3 linked regions of the Drosophila melanogaster genome follow. The gene in region 2 interacts genetically with the main gene of each other region. Each region holds a gene or a part of one and is shown on either strand. Other genes may lie near its edges. The genes, in order: cnk, jeb and rl.

What was found.
Region 1: of jeb (region 2) and cnk, changing one suppresses a phenotype caused by changing the other (phenotypic suppression), as found in Drosophila melanogaster (one study listed by BioGRID).
Region 3: of jeb (region 2) and rl, changing one suppresses a phenotype caused by changing the other (phenotypic suppression), as found in Drosophila melanogaster (one study listed by BioGRID).

What each region holds. Positions count from the first base shown.
Region 1 is NT_033778.4:17,413,979-17,422,011, reverse strand, and holds the start of cnk (connector enhancer of ksr), read left to right. Parts: upstream 1-2,004; 5' UTR 2,005-2,543; coding exon 2,544-2,601; intron 2,602-2,764; coding exon 2,765-2,928; intron 2,929-2,987; coding exon 2,988-7,439; 3' UTR 7,440-8,033. Other genes in the region: l(2)k01209 (lethal (2) k01209), read right to left, coding at 66-325.
Region 2 is NT_033778.4:12,116,334-12,121,286, forward strand, and holds the start of jeb (jelly belly), read right to left. Parts: upstream 3,008-4,953; 5' UTR 1,728-3,007; coding exon 266-1,727; intron 1-265.
Region 3 is NT_033778.4:1,069,985-1,075,017, reverse strand, and holds the start of rl (rolled), read right to left. Parts: upstream 3,044-5,033; 5' UTR 2,973-3,043; exon of another isoform or gene 2,768-2,972; 5' UTR 2,737-2,767; coding exon 2,579-2,736; intron 747-2,578; exon of another isoform or gene 677-746; coding exon of another isoform or gene 654-676; intron 1-653. UniProt on the Drosophila melanogaster protein: Serine/threonine kinase which acts as an essential component of the MAP kinase signal transduction pathway to regulate proliferation, differentiation and effect cell fate decisions in various tissues.

The sequences.
Region 1 (8,033 bases), 5.3 Mb from region 2:
TGGTATGTAAAATGGGACTTCGATTGGTTTTTACGTTAAGAAATGGGGAAAATGCAATGAATTACATGTGACCATTGGTTTTGGCTGCTATAGCCTTAACCTTTGACTGCTGATGATGCTGTTGTTGTTGTTGCTGCTGCTGTTGATGTGGTTGCTGAAGTAGCTGTTGCTGCTGGTGGTTTGCGATGGTTAGTAAACCGGCGGATGCGGCTGCAAATGCTGAGTTCGCTTTTGCCCCTTTTGGAACATCGTTATTGCTACTATTAATGCTGTTGTTGTTGGTGTTGTGGCCCGACTTGCTGCACAAAAACGTGATGCTGCTCATTTTTAGCCCGATCCCGATCTGCCAGCGATTTTGAATCACTCAGTCCGTCGGCGTGGGCGTGAGAACTTGGATGTGGAGGCAGCAAGAACACAGCAACCGGCGATGCCAAGCCAAAATGGGTCACTCACTCACACAACGCTCACGCGAATCGCCGCCGGCGTGGATCACATGTGATTTAGAGTTTTTATTTCGTACGCAGCGATTCACCTTTTGCGTTGCGGCCAATATTTATTCGATAACTAATGAAAACAAAAAATTAAGCCAAAGGTGTAGCGAGAAGTGCGAGGTGAGCGGCGTTTGGGGATTGAATGACAAGAAAAAGTGTTAAGGCAGCTAAGGTTAAAAAGCTGCGCTGCGCTGCGGTTTCCTCTGCCGGCGTCGTCTCTGCATTGTTGTTGTCGCAAGCCTTCATAGAGGTGGGCATGTGGTACATGAGGTTTGGCGTGACACGACTCAGTCGAAGATGTGCTCTACATTTTAGCCAAATTTGCATAACAAATGTCTCTTTTACTTTTGTTAAGTGAAGGATATTTAATTTGTTAGAGAAAAAAATATTCTAATTTTTAGGCGCATAAAATCATAAAATATTTCACGCTACATATACTTATACACAAGTAATTTTTTATAGCATTCCACGGATCGCACCAAAGTTATTTTAATAATGTTTCTGTGGTATGAATATTATTTTTTCAAACTGCAACATTACAAGTTACTCGCTGACGCGCCCATCCCTAGCTTGTAACTGTTCTCGCAGGGTGTTCGCTTTGCCTTCTCTCTCACACTCTCTTCCGATCCGATGCAACCGGCGACTATATCGAAATTGAATTTATCACATGTTATGCGTTTGCACATGTAGTGGTGTTTGCGAACGCAGGCCCTATGCCATTTTCCCAGCATTTATTTATATTGCGTGATTAGAGGCCCCACGACGCACACATGTAAGTAGGTACGTACGTACATACGATGAATGACTTGGAGCACATGCTCTTTAGATATGTTTGTGCGCGGGTGTGTGTGTGAGTGTGTATCACATTCTAATGACTTCTGTTGGATTTTCACACTTTACTTTTGGCCGTGCGTGAATTAATGCGGCATTAAAAAGTCGTTCGTTACCTGTCGGAGCTAGCGGAACTCGATGGGTTGTAGAACTTGATTTGTTTCGTCTGGGTCACAGACATTTCGACAAGAGAATAGTGATTGCAGCAGCCAGTTGCAGCGATTAGAAAAAAACACGCGGTGATTTACTTCGTCGTGCCTCTCCCTCTCCGAGCAAGTGACTGATTCGTTTCTGAAGGCATTGCGTTGGAAAAACGTGCGCCGCCTTCGTATACATACATATGTATACATCTACCCGAGCTTGAATGGTCAAGTAAAGTGCTAATTGTCAGCTGGGGAAAGGCACTGGAGCGGAGGGACGCTCATTGCCTTGTTTATCTCCATTTGATGCTGTCATTGAGGCATTTATTTATATGTTTTGGGGCAATTCAATTCCATTCGCAAGGCGCTCAGCTGTTTGATTGGGGCGGCGACAGTGTTGCGAAGCGCTGTTGGCTGTTGGGTTGCAGTAAATTCGAATGTGAATGGCTAAATCCGAAGCGGGGTTTTTAAATGTTTGATAATTATTACTTCGAGCTTGTGTCAATATAAGTGAATATTTTACATAAAACTTTGTGGTTTCTAAAAGATTAGCTTACAACATGATCTTTAGGTACTAACAAATAAAAGGTTGTAAATAGCGGTAGTGCTCGGAAAATATATCAACATGAGACAATTACCAATTCGATTATTTTTTGTTGGTCCTCTATCGATAACTGTTACTCTTACTCTCTTGCACTGCAAGCCAAATTCATATTAATTAAGACTATAAAAATAAACACATACAGAAACATGTGGCTGTTTCCTGGCTATCTTGGATGGAGAAAGTAGTATGTAGTAGTATCATAATTTATAGTTTTCTTTCCTCTTGTTCTGTCCCTTAAAGAAACTTTGAATAAATTGCATTTTGTTCAGTTTTAAAATGCATTAAATAATCGATTGCCACGCTAGTTCGATAGTATTTAACGAGCACCGAGTATTGTTCGAGCTCTAAAAGATGGTCACTCCGGACCAGAGAGACGCAACAATATAGCAATTCTGAACTTGGTTCGAGTGTTTTTGCAGCACGAATTGATAATATGCCGTAGGTGCGGCCCAGCGCGGATCATCAGCAGCAGCAGCGATGGCCTACATCAACATCGCCGAGTGGACGCCCGACCAGGTCACCGACTGGATAAAAGGTAATGCTCGAGGTCAAGGAAAGCGCAGCTGAGAAAAAAAAAACTGCATCTCGCAGCCACTGCCCCAAAAAGCAGCAGCAACAACAAGTGCAACAAGAATTTCCGCTTTGTTCAAGGTTTCAACAGGCACATCATAATAATTATGTTTTCCTGATTCTCGCAGGTCTGGATGAGTCTATGAAGGGGTATTTGTACGAGTTCTCCAAGCAGGAGATCGGCGGACGGGCGTTGCTCAACATACGGCCATACGAGCTGGAGAATCTGGGCATGCTGCGCATTGGCCATCAGGAGATCGTGCTGGAGGCGGTGGAGAACTTAAGAAACTTCGTGAGACCCCAAACAAATATTGTGACATACAAACCCGTTAATTGAGCTTGATATTCCAGCATTATCACCTGAAAAACGACAATCTGCAGTTCATGGCCTTGCATGTGGCCACGGCAGCTAAGAATCTGCATCGCGAACTGGCCAGGAATCATGCGGAGAGCACTAAGATCGATACCCGGATACTGCACGATATTACCAGGACGATAGCTACTCTAAAGCCATTGGTGGGCAGCCTGGAGCGAACACCGTTCCGTAAGCAGGAGATGTACCGCGAGTATTGTGGCAATGTGCTCAAATGCGGCCTGGAGCTGGCCACAATTGCCCACCGTGATCGTTTTGCCCTGCAGCCGGTGCCAGCGATTCGACAGTCAGCGGAACGGCTCGAGAATCTTGCCAACTTTGTAATCCAGGACATATCTGATCCCATGGTACTGCAGCCAGCCTCTCTGAACCTTGTCACCCTTAAAAAACGCGAATCCGAGTTGGGTTTCAACATAGAGTCCAGTTATAATGGCATTCACCGTGTCACGGATATCAAGTACAACTCGCCAGCTCACAATTCCGGAAAAATCGAAGATGGCGACGAGATTGTGCAGATCAACTACCAGACCGTTGTGGGCTGGCAGCATCGCACAGTACTGGAGCATCTGAGGGAAGCACTTCCAGATGTGGTGCTGACGGTGAAGAAACGGCCGAAGCACACAAAGATGTTTGGACAGATCTATATGCAGCCGTACAGGTTGCCCAGCAAGAAGAGGAATATGGCCGCCCGCTGGGCGGCACAGATGCCAAGTCCCCGTGCTGCATTTTTAACCCTGGACACGGAGCAACTGGCAACAGGAGGAACAGGAAGCGCGGTGCCAGATCCCAGTAAATCCCTAAGCAGTGAGAAGAGGGAGGTACTTACCAAGGCCAATCCAGTGTCCTCTGCCTCCGACTCTGATTCCAGTTGCAGTGATATTCCAACACCAACGGATCCCAAGCTAGCCGCACGGGAGATCCGTTTGTATTACCCAAAGCCAAGAGCTTTGCTCCAACGAAGAAACACTATTTGTGGATGCGAGTATCTTAGCCTGAAAAACTCGGATCTAGTCGTTCCATCGTGGCACGAAAGAAAGCCAGGAATTGGTTCGCCCACCAATTGCGACCCTGGCTCGCCCAGTATACGGGATAAGTCGATATCCTTCGGTTATGGCCTAGAGATGGCAGCAAGGCCGACCACTTGCATTGGGATTGCGGGCGATACCTCCACGGACAAGGCCAGGCGAATGTTTCATGAGGCGCGAAAACTAAAGCAGCTGACGGAGGACTCGCAGCGCGAATTCCTCGTGGATCGTTACAAGCCGGGTGTCAGCAAAGTAGTTCGGTTCGACGCCAAGGAAGATTATGTGATGAAGAATGAAAAATTTATCTGTAACGTTGAGAACACCATACTGGAGACCTTTGAACCGATTCCCTTTGCGGATGAGGGAGACGAGGACGCCTTGGAAACGCTGCGCAACTGCAAAACAGAAAACGCAGAGGAGCTCCTAGAGGCAATTAATCTGGCTACAAAAGGTCAGGACTTGCCCCTGGCCGAGGCCATTAACATGCCTTTGTTGCAGCAAGGTCGAAGGGGCCGATTAGACAAGAGTCATAGTACTCCGGCATACGATAATTCGGGTGAAGAATCGGATACGCCGCCAGCGATTGAGCCAAGAAAGGAGTTCCTGCTTGTCACACCGCCAGCACCGCCACCGCGACCCCGCAAGCAAAGGGAAATGACGCCACCGGCGGTGCCTCCACCTCCACCAAAACCAGCCAGCATGCAGCCGGCTAGTAGTATCACCAGTATCTCCATTCCCGTGCCAGTACCTGTACCAGCCGCAGTTGATCCATCGGAGATCAGTGAGCTTCATACGCCCAGCAAATCCCGGACACTGACCCTTAAAAAGAAGCACAGCTTAATGGCCAAGCGGCGGAACACAAATCTCAAGCTGTTGGGGACTGGGGATATCCAAGGTCATCTGTACAGGCGCAAGAAAAATCATCGCGGAGTGACTTACTGGGCGAGAATCTATTTCGTGATGCTGGATACGATACTGTACGGATTTCGCAGTAAGCAGAGTACCAGCGCCAGCTTGGTAATATTTTTACCGGGCTTTACGGTTTCATTGGCAAAAGAAGTGCACTCCAAACCGCATGCCTTTAAAGTTTACCACACGGCCAAGAGCTTCTACTTTGCGGCCGAGTCGCTGGACGCACTTAACCAATGGGTGGACTTCTTGCGCCAGGCTTCGCTCAAAGTGCCGCCTAGTACGGGTTCAAAAGGCGGTGGTGACGCAAAGGATTTGTATTCGGAGAACGATAGCTCAGGCGAGGAATGCGATGCCCTTGTGATCCAGAATTTAAGCACGCCCTCGCCGCAAGGCAACAAGGAGTCAATGTCCATGTCGATGACACTATCTGGCGGAACACCACCTTCCTCTGCACCCATTAAGCATGAACGCGGCTACTTGGACTCGTTTCGCAAATTTACGAATACATTCAAGAGCAGTGCAGCGAAACCGTCGAGCGACATCCCTGTGCCAACGGAGCAATACCGCAGCTATAGGAAGGTGCCAGGCGGAAGTTTTGGCATTCAGATTGGTGCCAATACACCGGGCTACCATGATCCCGCAATGCCGCCGACACAGATTCCACCTTTGGTGGGTCCTAAACTGTCGCGTAGCTCAAGTAGGAGTTCGGTGGTCAGTGGAACCGAGTCTGCCGTATCATTATCTGCTTCGATTCTGGGTCCGCCCGCGTCGCCAGCGCCAACGCCCACGCCTACAGCCACTCCCACATCGCTGCAGCATCAGAGCTCCGAGGAGAGTCCAAGTCAGAGCCAGAGCCAGAGTCCCAGTAGCAAGTCGAGTTTGAAGAAGGCACCATTCAACTTCTTGCACGCCTCAAATCCGAATTTGGTGGAATTCGATTTCCATACCTCGAAAACACTACTCCCCAAGATGAGTGTGGGTAATACACTCGACCATGGCCATAATATACAGGGCTTTGTGACGCTTAAGGATCTGATGCTGCGCAAACAGGAGGAGGAGGCCCAGGAAATGTACAACAATCGAGTGCACTTGGGTGTGGAGAAGCACAAGCACGCACGGACGGAATCCACGGCCAGTCAGCAGAGCGCCATGAGCAGCAGCGTGACAAAGCCGCTGGAAAAGTTGCCCAAGATCCAGAGCGTGAGTCTGCCCAAAACACCCGACTACGAGATCAGTTTTAAGCCTGACGACGAGAGTATTAAGAGAACCAGAACTAAGGAAGGTCAGAAGTTGCGCGACTTTGGTTACGAGCTGATATGTGGGGATGAGCCGAGCACTAGCTCCATCAGCCGGCAAGAGCACCACCATCATCATCATCATCACCAGCACCACCTGCAGCATGTGCAACAGCAGCAGCAGCTACAACATCAGCAGACGCAGCAGCAACATAGCAGCAAGGCCAAGCACTTCTTGCGCTCACAGCAGTTACAGCTCTCCAGTTTCCTGCACAAGAACAGCAGCGGCGGCAGCGGCAAGAGTTCCGGATCCGGTGCGGATCAAAAGAAGTCCAAAGGAAAGTCTAGCGGCGATCGTCGGTTTCCCTTTTCCAAGCACTCAACTGGCTCCGCGGGCAGTGGCTGTGGGCCGGGTCATGCGATGACTATGACGCTGCCGCTGAACAAGAAGTCCAAATCGAATCACGCCTTGGATGGAGCCGTAGGCAATGGAGTCACCATAATCGGCAGCGGCAGCAGCATCAAGAAAAGCCAGACGTACAATCAGGATCTGCGAGACAAGATAGTGGGCACCAAGTACGATGCGCATCGCAAGAACTCGGCCCCGATACCAATCTTTTCGAAACTCTCCATATCGGGTGGCACGCCGGCGAAGCCCTCCAAGGAGAATCGTTTCCTGGGCTCACCGCTGCTGCATCGCACGCTGTTCGGGCACCATCACCATCAGCAGCAGGCAGTAACGCCACCAAGCAGTGCGGATCCCGATTGCGATCAGGAGATCTTCTCCCAAATCACCCTGCCCACGCACAATCAGGCGGGATATCGAAGTTACCGTGGACCTGGCATACTAACCACCTCGACCACTAATTTGTGCTCGTCGGAGGGCTTGCAGCCGCCGTTGCCCCCAGCGCCACCGCCTCCCGTCAACACCAGCAGGCAGAGAGAGGAGGAGCAAGCGGAGGCAACGATATCAGAGTGTGCGGCCACCCCAAAAGTGTCCAGTTCGGGATCTGTGGATTCGAAGGCGGCAACGCCGGACTATCCAAATATGGAGTGTCCGCCTGTCTTTGAGCCGGAAATCTACTCGCTCAGCGATACCAGCTTGTCCCGCATCGTGATGCGGACGCCCAGCAGCAGTGGTGCCACCAGTGCCACCGCCAGCACCACCACCACCAACAACAACAACAACAATAATAACACCAATAACAACACCAACACCAACAGCAGTCCCAGTGGCGGCGAACACCATCAGACCTAGATGTGTGATGAAAACTATTGTGAATGCTCGCGGGGATTAGCCCCCGTTTACTTATGTATTTATACACACGCATATAGATATATATATATATATTATATATAGCGATATTCTCGTACGATTTAGGTATACAACTTGTTCATTTTGATCGTCTTCCCTGTCTGTCCACCAGAAACAAACACACGCATACCTGCAATCCCTTCGATTCGAAACCCACTTAGATGTAAATGTTTAATCTGCCTTATTTGCATTGTATTTCGGTTCTAGGCAAAATGTTTTACACATGTAGTCACGCAAGCAAAACAATGAATTATAGCGAAAATGGAGAATAACTTTAGAAGTCTGTGCATCGAACAAAGACGGTTCTTTATGATTTGCCTTTGTACGCGATTAACCAAGTTAATCCGAGCTGTTTGATTTGCTCAACAGTTTGTGTCTAGATTGCGTGTAATATACATATATTATTATGCGAAATGAGATATTATTGTAATGGCATCCAGCGACGCCAATGGAGCCAGAAATGTTGTAGCGGAATGCAAGAAATATATATATACACAATTACACGAAATATACATGCATACGAATAAAGTCAACTGT
Region 2 (4,953 bases):
TAAAGAACTTGGCTGCAAACCAACTATTTCCTGCTTTTAATTTTGACTAACTATTTTAGAATTTCGAAAGTTCACTCTAATTAGATTTCATTGAGGTTTTATTTCTTGCGCTGGGTGCATGTTCGATTGGATCGAATTAATGCCAGACAGTCGGCTAAAGGTCAGCGTTGAAGTCGGCTAGGTTCCAACGATTCCTCCCCCATAGTCCACCATTGAAACCCCAGCTCAAGCCTCTATATAATGGGAATTTATAGGTATAACTCACCGATTTGTGGCACATCGTATTGCCGTTGACCGCGGGCGGTGCGCAGCATCAGCTGGCTGGCTATGCTGTGTGAAATCGGTGGCTGCGCTGAGTAACCGCCTCCTGGCGATCCCATGGATCCCGCCGATCCGGAACCGGATCGCTTATGGCTGGGATCCTTTTTGTCCTGCTGCGACTGTTGCTCCACCTGCTGCTGTTTAGGTAGTCCATCGCCGGCGGCTTGTTTGCCGGAGGAAGAAGTGGCGGAGGAGACGGCCGAGGATGCACTGCTACCTAGCTCGCTATGTGGCTTCTCGTTATCCTTGGAGCCGGAGCGAGTGGATGGTTTCAGGTGCTTGCTGGCCGTGGCCTCCGAGTTGGCGGACAGCGATAGTTTGCCATTGCGCTGTGGCTTGAAGTGCTGGGCGAAGATCTGGCGCTGCAGCTGCTTTTCCGCCTCAGGATTATGGGCAATGCCCTGGCCATTTCGTTTCCTCGCCCACTTTTGCTGCACCCTTATGTTGTAGTTGCCCGGGTTGTGGATTTTGCCGGTGTGCATCGCCTTGAAGGGGGCATCTCGCTGCTCCTGTTCCTGCTCGAAGAGCTGCTGCAGGGAGTCGGGTGCACCCAGCTCCAATTGCTCCAGCGTGCGATAGGGATTCTCCGGAAGGGTTTCGTCCTCCAGGCCGTGATATTGATAGGCATCCAGTTCACGCAGCAACTCATCCTCGCCCAAGTGCGGCTCCTGCGGTTCCTGCTCCAGTTCCGAGAAGTCATCAAAGTCGCCGAACGAGTGCAGCGGTTCGTAGAGAGCCTCCACCTGCTCCTCCCTCTCCGCTGGCTGCACCACTCTTCCGTAGTATTTAACGGGTCTATTCTCCAGATCCCTCAGCTGCTCATAATCCTGTTCCAGGGTAACCGGCGTCGGTGGTTGCTTCTGCACATTACCGAAGATGTAGCCCCGTGCGGCCTGCTGCAACAGCGCCGGATAGTCGCCCACTTCCAGCTCCTCGCTGGGCTGCATCTGTATCCGGCCGGCAATGAAGGGATGACCGCGATGATTACTGCCCGCCGGCGGCTGTTCCGCCGTCTGCTTGGCGCGGGCCAGGAGCATTAGTCGCTCTCGCTCCAGCTGGGCCATATCCGCTATCTCCTTGTTCAGCCGCACGGTGGTGGCATCGAAGGCGGCCGCTGCGGCGGACCGATGGCCATGCGGCGAGGATCCACCGCCGGGCGGAGATCCTCCGGGATGCTGTTGGTGCTGCTGCTGCTGCGAGGGTGCGGTCTGCCAGGCGGCGGCTACTCCCGTCGAGGGTCCAACGGGATGACTGGGCACCTGCACTGCCTTGGCTTCGCCCAGCGACTTCTCGCCGTTCCCATTCCCGTTCCCGTTGCCATTTCCGTTTCCGCTCAGATGGAGGGCATAGAGGCCGCCCTGTATGAGCAGGACGCAGAAGAGCGTCTGGGCCAGCGAGCAGAACATTTTCCGTTTGTTGGTCTGGCGCAGCTTCTCGATTAGACGGCTTATCTTGGCGGTTTCGGGTTTACCAGGGGGTTTACCAAGGGGAAAATACAGTTAGTTTGCTAGTCCGGGGGGATGGTGTTTGGGGGTGGGGGCGGGAGTTATAGAGACTGGTGGCAGGTGGTTTTTCGGGGCTGGTGGCGGTGAATGGTGGTGAGGGAAAGTCCCGATATCAATGTTTCTCTCTGGACTTTCGATGCTTTGCACACACGGCTTTTGTGGGTCTTCAGGCCCCACACCGCTGACCAACACTGTGCCGGCCTAAGCCTGGCATTGCACTACACTGGCCTGCACCGAACGAAGTTTTTTCGAAAATTTCGAACTTTTCCAAATTTGTGTGTGTGTGTTTTTTTTTTCTTTTTCAAACTTTTTGGCTATCGCGTTTTTGTGGATGCCTTGCAACGACCGTTGTTTATGGTTTCGTTATTTTTCGATATTATCTGTATATTTTTTCGGGCACTTAACTTGGCGTTCTTCTTTTCACTGGCCAGTCCACTCGATTTCGATTTAGACCTTAGGCTTATTAGTTAGTTTTTGTTCGCGGCACTTTGGTTTCTTGGGTATATAATTTTCTTGTGTTGTTATTCAGCTTTCGTTTGTGGTGTGAAAACTTTCCCTTGTTCTGGGTGAGTGATGTTTTAGTGGACTAGCTTTGCTACTAGTGTGTATATTTTTTTTTTTTTTTGTTATATTCTTTTTTATCGCCTGGCTCCAAGAGTGTTCCGCACGTTTGAACCGACGAGCAAGGACTCGTCGTGTCGTCTCAGCAGGATTTGCCTGTTTGTCTGCCTTTTGCTTGGCCGCCTGACGCGTGTCCCTCTGCCACTGCCTCTGCCTCGGTCGGCGTCGCGGTCGCTGTCGCTGCCCGCGTCGACGTCGCTGCCGCTCCTCAAGGCGTTTCGGATTTCCACTTTATGTGGCAGTCGTTGTCGTAGTCGCACTCGTACACCCACTCCCTGCACGCCCCGCCTCGAATTTCACTCCTCGGACGAACCGCTGGCTGCTGGGCTGGCTACTCTCCGCTCTCTCTCTCTCTGGCTCCTTTCTCCTTTCTCCTTGCTCTTTCTCCGTGCTCCTGGCTCCTGGCTCCTGGCTCCCTGCTCCTTTCGCCGCTTTCTCTGCTTTCTCCTGCTGCTCCTGCTGCTACTGCTACTGCTGCTTCTGGGCTTCCTCAGCTCCAGCTTGTGTGCTCTCGGTCAGCGGGAAAAACTCGAGCTCGAAACGACTGTTCGCTCTATACTGAGCACTGCGGCCGCTCAACCACTTGTTTTCAACCAGCCTCATGTGTAGAGTTTTTCCCGAAGCCTAACGGGATGAGAGAAAGTGAGAGAGAGTGCCTGCTACTGCGCACTGTGCACCGTTACCGGCATCATTGACTCCCTGTTTTCCATTTCCCAGATGCCATATGATTTGCGGTCGCCAGTTTGCGTGGGTTGTTCAACATCCGCATCGGAGTCCTTCGTTCCGGCGGGGCATTTCCCCAGTTCGACTCGAATTTGGGTAATCCCATTTAGCTGTCATCAGCTGTGGCTCCACTAATCCCAACAACAGCCGAGGATTCAATCACTGAATGCACTTTTCACTGGGCTTACCCGGAATCGCGTTGTGTTTTCTTGCCGGAAAAAATCAATTGTGGGAAAATTAAGTGATACCACAAATCTGGTTTCTCCCGAGCTAAGGTTTGTGATTTCATTAATGGGCAACTAATGGGATTTTCACTGAAATCACTTACCTAATGCATGTCGACCAACATTTTTGTAACCCTTTTGTAACAGAAGATGTTTGTATATAAGTTTCAAACATTTAACAACCTTTTTAACAACCACATTTTTAAGAAATCTTTCATTTTAATGTTCGTCATAATTACCGTAAAATATATTCCTAATTATTGAACAAATTAATACTGCAATACTTAAAGACGGTTAGTAGAAACCAAATAAACTAAATGAAGTCACGATATATAAATGCAGTTATAATAACTATAATAGATTCTGATCATAACAGCCAGTGCAAAAGATTTGGCAACAACTTATGTGCCATAACTTATGATAACTTAGTACATTTCCCGTGATATTTACAAGCCCCTTTCTTATGGAATATGCCGATCGACCGCCCAACGAACTAGCGGTACATTTCCCCTACATTTCAAAAGTCGAAAACGATTGACAACCACACTGGCGAGATACGTACATACATACCTACATGTACATATATCTACTGGCAAAATACAACTCACGCAGCAGCAGCGCCGAGGATATATTGTGAATAAAAATGAGCACATAGATTGCAAGTCATTAAAGCTGGCGAACCGAATACGAATCGGGAAAGGGGAGGACGCAGAGCCGAAGGACCCTTCGATTCGGGTGTAAGCCAACATGAATGAAGGAGAATGTCCTGTGGCAGAGGCGTCATCGTTGCTTGCAGCCCGCTTTTCGCTTTTCGTTTTTCGATTTTTGCCATTGTTCTTGCTGTTGCACACAACAAACAGCTGAAGGCTGGGGGCGGGGGTGGGGAGGCGTGGCAGACCGAGGACGAAGACGAGTCCTTTTGTCGTCACAATGTCTGTGGCTTTTACGTTTTACGAGCGAGCTATAATATATTCGCCGTGCCAACGTAATGATATCCGAGCCGAGGTGAAATTGAATCGCGAGCTTAAGCTACGTGAATGGACTTGTTCCACGGTGTGGAGAGTTTTGAATGGACGAAAAGGTGAATAGTCGCCATGTATAATCGAAAAAGTTTCGGAGTCGAGCGTAAAAAGAAGGTGAGAATACAACTGGAGAATACAGTCATTCATAGCAATATTTTATCAATCAAGTCTGAACATAGAAAATTAAGTTAATACAGTAAATTAATTATTTATTAAGAAAGGGCTATAAGATAAACTTAATGTACGCTTGTAAACTCCTACATGACTATATTTAGTATTTCACCATAATGTTTGCTTTACTGCTGTAATATAACTAAATTCGATATTATTTCGATCTCCAAGCCATATCTCTCTGTTTGAAAGTCTACATGCAAAAAGCCGGCTTGGCCTCTCAATTTGTTGCACGACCCGAAAGTCTCCGGCTCGTTTGGAAAACTCTACAGGCGACGGCAAACAGCTGAGCCTGGCCAGGACCTTTCGCCGCCCCCAATACGCCTGGCCCGCAACATGGTCCTACCACAAGCCAAATGCACTTGC
Region 3 (5,033 bases), about 11 Mb from region 2:
CTTGGATTGCTATAAGAAAGTGGACAAGAAAAAAAAAGAAGCAGCGGGTTCATTAGAAATACATTATGATTTGAAACGCTTAATGAATATAGTAAATGAATGTATAGTAAACCATGTTATTAATAACGCCACAAGAGAGCGTGAAAAAAGAGAGCATGGAGATCAATACAATTAATGTGTCCAGTCGGTGTTGAGATCAACACAGGGAACCACCACAAACTTTTGTAAACTCATTTAAGTTTAATATTACACTCACATATTTCGCGAAATATTATTTTAAAATAAACATTTATAATAATACAACGTCGTCGCAGAAATGAATTTCGTTAAACAGGACCCTGGGACAATTTTTAGGGCTTAGTAGGAATTATTTACAAAATCACTCATAATTTAAGTGGCATGCAAAGAGTAATAACTTTTGTGCTATGTAGTTAAAGAAATTACAAATAACTCTGGTGTGGAAAACAAAGATAAGAAAGAAAAGAAAGGCAAAAAAAATTGCAAAGAAAACAATTGGTGTGATATTAATCCTGATAAAGAATATATATACTTTATGTGGTCGGAAACGCTTTCTTCTGCCTGTCACATACATTTCAACGAATCTAGTAAAATACGCATGTAAAATAATTAGGAATGATATCGCTATGGAAGACCTAATAACTAAGGCAGACTCCATAGATGTTCTCCAACAGTCCCAAGATGGATTAGGTCCAAGAAATGTTCGTCATTAAGGATTTATGCACATTCTGTTAAAATAAATTAGAACAAATAATAGGATATGGTGGTGAATTCCGATTTTTTATAGCAGAACAGCGACAAATAAGGAATATATTTAAGTATTCCTTTGTACAGCCAAATAGCTATAAACTTAAAAGAAGAACTTTTTTGGACCGATTCAATGCGATCCGATTGAGGTACGTATACTCAAGAATCGAACGGACTAGCGAAATGAATAAGGTTTTGGTGCTGTAATGATCATTTAATTCCTTTGACCTCCTTTTTATTAAACCAAGCACACCCCTGCCTTATTGACAATAGTCGAAATATGATCTGAAAAACTTTAGTTTAAGGTCCAGAAGAACACTAAAATCAGCAACCAATGTTATATCAAAGACACTAGAATAACAAGATGCGTAACGGCCATACATTGGTTTGCAACTATGCAGCCACACATATGGCTCGATATCCAATTAAATAATAAGCTATAGCGTAACAAGCAACGCCAGCAAAATTAAATTTAGCCGCCGGGCTTCGAATTCCTGTCCGCCCTAAATTTCCTCACCAATACCAATACCAATCAACATCTCATAATATCTATCCACAATAAGAAACCCTCTCACCAACCACTTCCCAATTATTTAACTTATATGGATGCCCACTCACATCGGCATATCCGCCAACGAATACGCCGACAAAACAGCTAAAGATGCCCACAGATACGCCCTTGTACACTCCTCAAATTACAACTGTGACGACTTTTCTCAATTTTCCCTGGTATGAGCTCATCCTTCAAGCTACAACACTACATAACACAATAAGAAAACACAAATCCTAATAAAAAGGCTCAGGCTTGGACACACCAACCTTACCAATGCCCACTACATGAACTGACCCCTCCCCAAAATATGCTCTCTTCAGTCAATCAACCCCATTTGCTACCCACCTCAAAACTCCAACCTAATCAAAAAACATAAAACTATAATTTAAAATTAAAAGAAACTAAAAAAAAAAACAAAATGTCCGCTTTTTAAATATTTTATAAGAATATAACAAAATAATTCAACTAAATATTTTTTATTTTTAAATACTGAAAAATGAAATGTTGCCATGCCCACTCTCCGCCCAAAACTGCAACTGCAACTTTTAAAAAATGTGTTGATTTTTTATTTTTGAAAATGTAGGTTCCAAATTTACTTTTAATGAATGAATGAATAATCCCTAATTATGTCCAAAAGCATTAGAAAAAGGTATAAAGGCACCGAGTAAAAGAGTACTTTAACAAGCAAATCCAAGTTTAGCGAGAAATTGTATTGCGTTGAACAACCGATCGACCGGTAAACGAAAGTTTTGTGCGCAGCGTTTAAAAGCAAGCAATATGACTCAGAAGCTATTGACTTTCCTTTATTTATAAAGTCCATCGGCCAATTTAGGCTTTTGCATGAAAACAAACTCGGTTGTGTCGACCCTTAAAGATTGATTTTGTCAAAGAAAAAGCAAAACTAAGCCACGTTTAGAGAAAAAGAAAGAAATCAAAAATTTGAGAAACTATTTCGTTGTTAAGTGTTTCACAGCTTAGTACTGCGTATGATTGATGTGAATAAATTTAATGCATTTTCGAAAAATAACATTGATTCAGCAATACCATGTATGCGAACTTACAGCAAAGGACTTGAACAAAATGTATTACTTGATATAAAATCAAGAGAACACGGTTCTGAGTATTACTGCATTTCGGAAGGAGAACCGCAAGATAAAAAAAAAACTATGAATAATGGACAAAGGAACAACAAGAAAGAGGTGTGCAAACACTGTAGATTAAAAACGGCTTCAAAAATAAAAATAGGTATTAGGTACTTACACAACCATGCCATAAGCTCCTTCACCTATATAGGCGAGTTTAATATACCTAGGACCAACTTCAAATATTTGTCCCCTTATAACTTCAGCATTAGATTGAGGAACTTCCGTAGATCCTGTACCATTAACTACTGATCCGCTCGAATTAAATTCCTCCATGACTAACGTTTCTTCTGGAAAACTTGAAATACTACTAAAGATGTTATGATACAAAATACACCGTATCTGCAAAATTCGCAATGTATGTATGCGTGGATTGTAATAACACTTTTACAACTGAATATGTCCCACTTTATCTTATTTAAGTGAACAGCAATAAGTGCAAAATCTTTATTTACTTTATTATGAATTTAACCAAAAGTCTATAACTTAAGATATGAATATATAAACTCAACTTTTTTTTACTCTTTAGACAAATGCGTAAATATGATTTATCAAAATCGACGGCGTAAAACATTAATAATATGTTAAGATAACGACACTGGTCAATGTTTATCCGATCCAATTATAATCGGATCCCAAAAGGTACATCAGTCTTTTGGCAGCCACAATTTCCACAATTAATATTAAATAATATAATAATTTAAAAATGATCAGTCATTGCGTAAGACATTTTTTTATTTAAAAATTGGTATTAAAGGAGGAAATTGATCATCACATATTAACCTGATGTTGGGTTAAATATATTTTTGGACATTTTTCAATGGGAGCGCAGAAATAAAAACCTTTTGACTTAGTGTTATATTCCTAATTTAAGCTATTATTGCCCATTAAAATAAAACAAGAAAGCAGGCATGTGCCATCTTCTGCTGTGTGACCTAACAGATGTAAATTCAGCGTAAACGGAACTAAAAGTACTGTTCCCACCATTAAGACGTGACTACAAACCAATGTAGAATATACATATTAACACGAAAGCAGAAATTAAATGTTTAATTAAGAGAAAACAAATCCTTTAATTGCTTTTTTATTATATTATAATAAAATTTCTTAACAGCTCACTACTCAGAAGCATATACAAATGTACAGCTAACTAAATGTAGTTTGCCCACTACAGAAAATTCAGCAGTGTTGCAACGGAGGATGATTGATGATCGAACATTCTTTTTAAACAAAATACTATCAGATGTCAAAAACTTTATATTTTTACATTAAAAAATCCGAATGTACTTAAATATATTTGTTACTCTTAAGGTGATATCCGAAGTAAATGCTACGTACGCCAAGTATATAAGTTTACAGAAATCGTGAAAAATATGTCTATGACAGCTATTTATTTTATGAATTAATGAAATACCATGGTTTTAGGTATAAGTGTAGGTTTAATTTTTTTAATTAATGTAGGTTTATTTTATAACATGACCTTTTCCTTATTAACAATTTATTTCATTCTTAGAATACATTTCAGTTTAACTCGCATGACGGAGCGGGTACAAGTGTAGCACCGCAAAGAGCGACTGCAAAGCTAGCACATTGTTTAAAATGCCCAACTCAGTTGATGTCTAGTTTTAGTATATAGTTTAGTTTAGTTTGTGTATGGAGTTTTGGGATTTTGTTTAACAGCCGTCAGACTGCAAAACTTGTGTTTGGTCGGCGCTGCCGCAGTCCAGACGTCAGTCGTTGCCGTTGTTGGCGCAATAAGTTGCGCAGGAACCAGTGATTTTGATATAATTCATTTGTATTATCTATTAAAGAAGAAGTGGGTCCAACGTGAATGGACTTAGAGAGCACAGAAAGAACTTATTAAGACTCATAAATAAATTCAAATATATCTTTACTTTAAAAATTTCAACTTTAATTTCCTTTATCATTTTTCTTTTGTTCAATTTTAATTGTCAGGGAAAACAATGCTTAAGAACTTTGGTTTACCCTTGGACACAATTATTTTCAAAAATGAAGACATTCTTAAATTAAGTAATGGTGAGGTAAAATTATATGGAGGAACACAGTAAGCGTCCAACTTCGGTTGATCATCTGTCCCTGTCGAATTTCTTAACTTAACTTTGTAAATTACAGTTTGTGTTTGTTAGTTTCAAACGCTTTGGAATATAGAGATGCAAACTTTTAAGAAAACTCTAACCCCGGTTCACTAATTTCGTTCTGGAAAAGTGTTTTATGGACAGATGTAAGTTCTTTCGAGAATAACTCGTTAAAAAAAGCTGCAGCTTCACTTAAACTTATTTATTTAGGTATTAAAGGCTTGTCAAAATACTTATGCCAATACAAAAAATAATCATATTACATTAACTTGTCTATATCGTTTGTTAATTTTTATGTTTATATTACTTACACCCAACAAATAAAAAATAATCATTATTATCATATTAAGTCATTTTAAAATTTTACTGCCAACAGTGTGTGTAGTGCCGACTAGTGTGTTCTGTGACTGAGCAGAAATGTTTGGTGGCGATAGCAGCTATGCGAAATTTCAGAGATTTTAACTGATCATGTCTCGC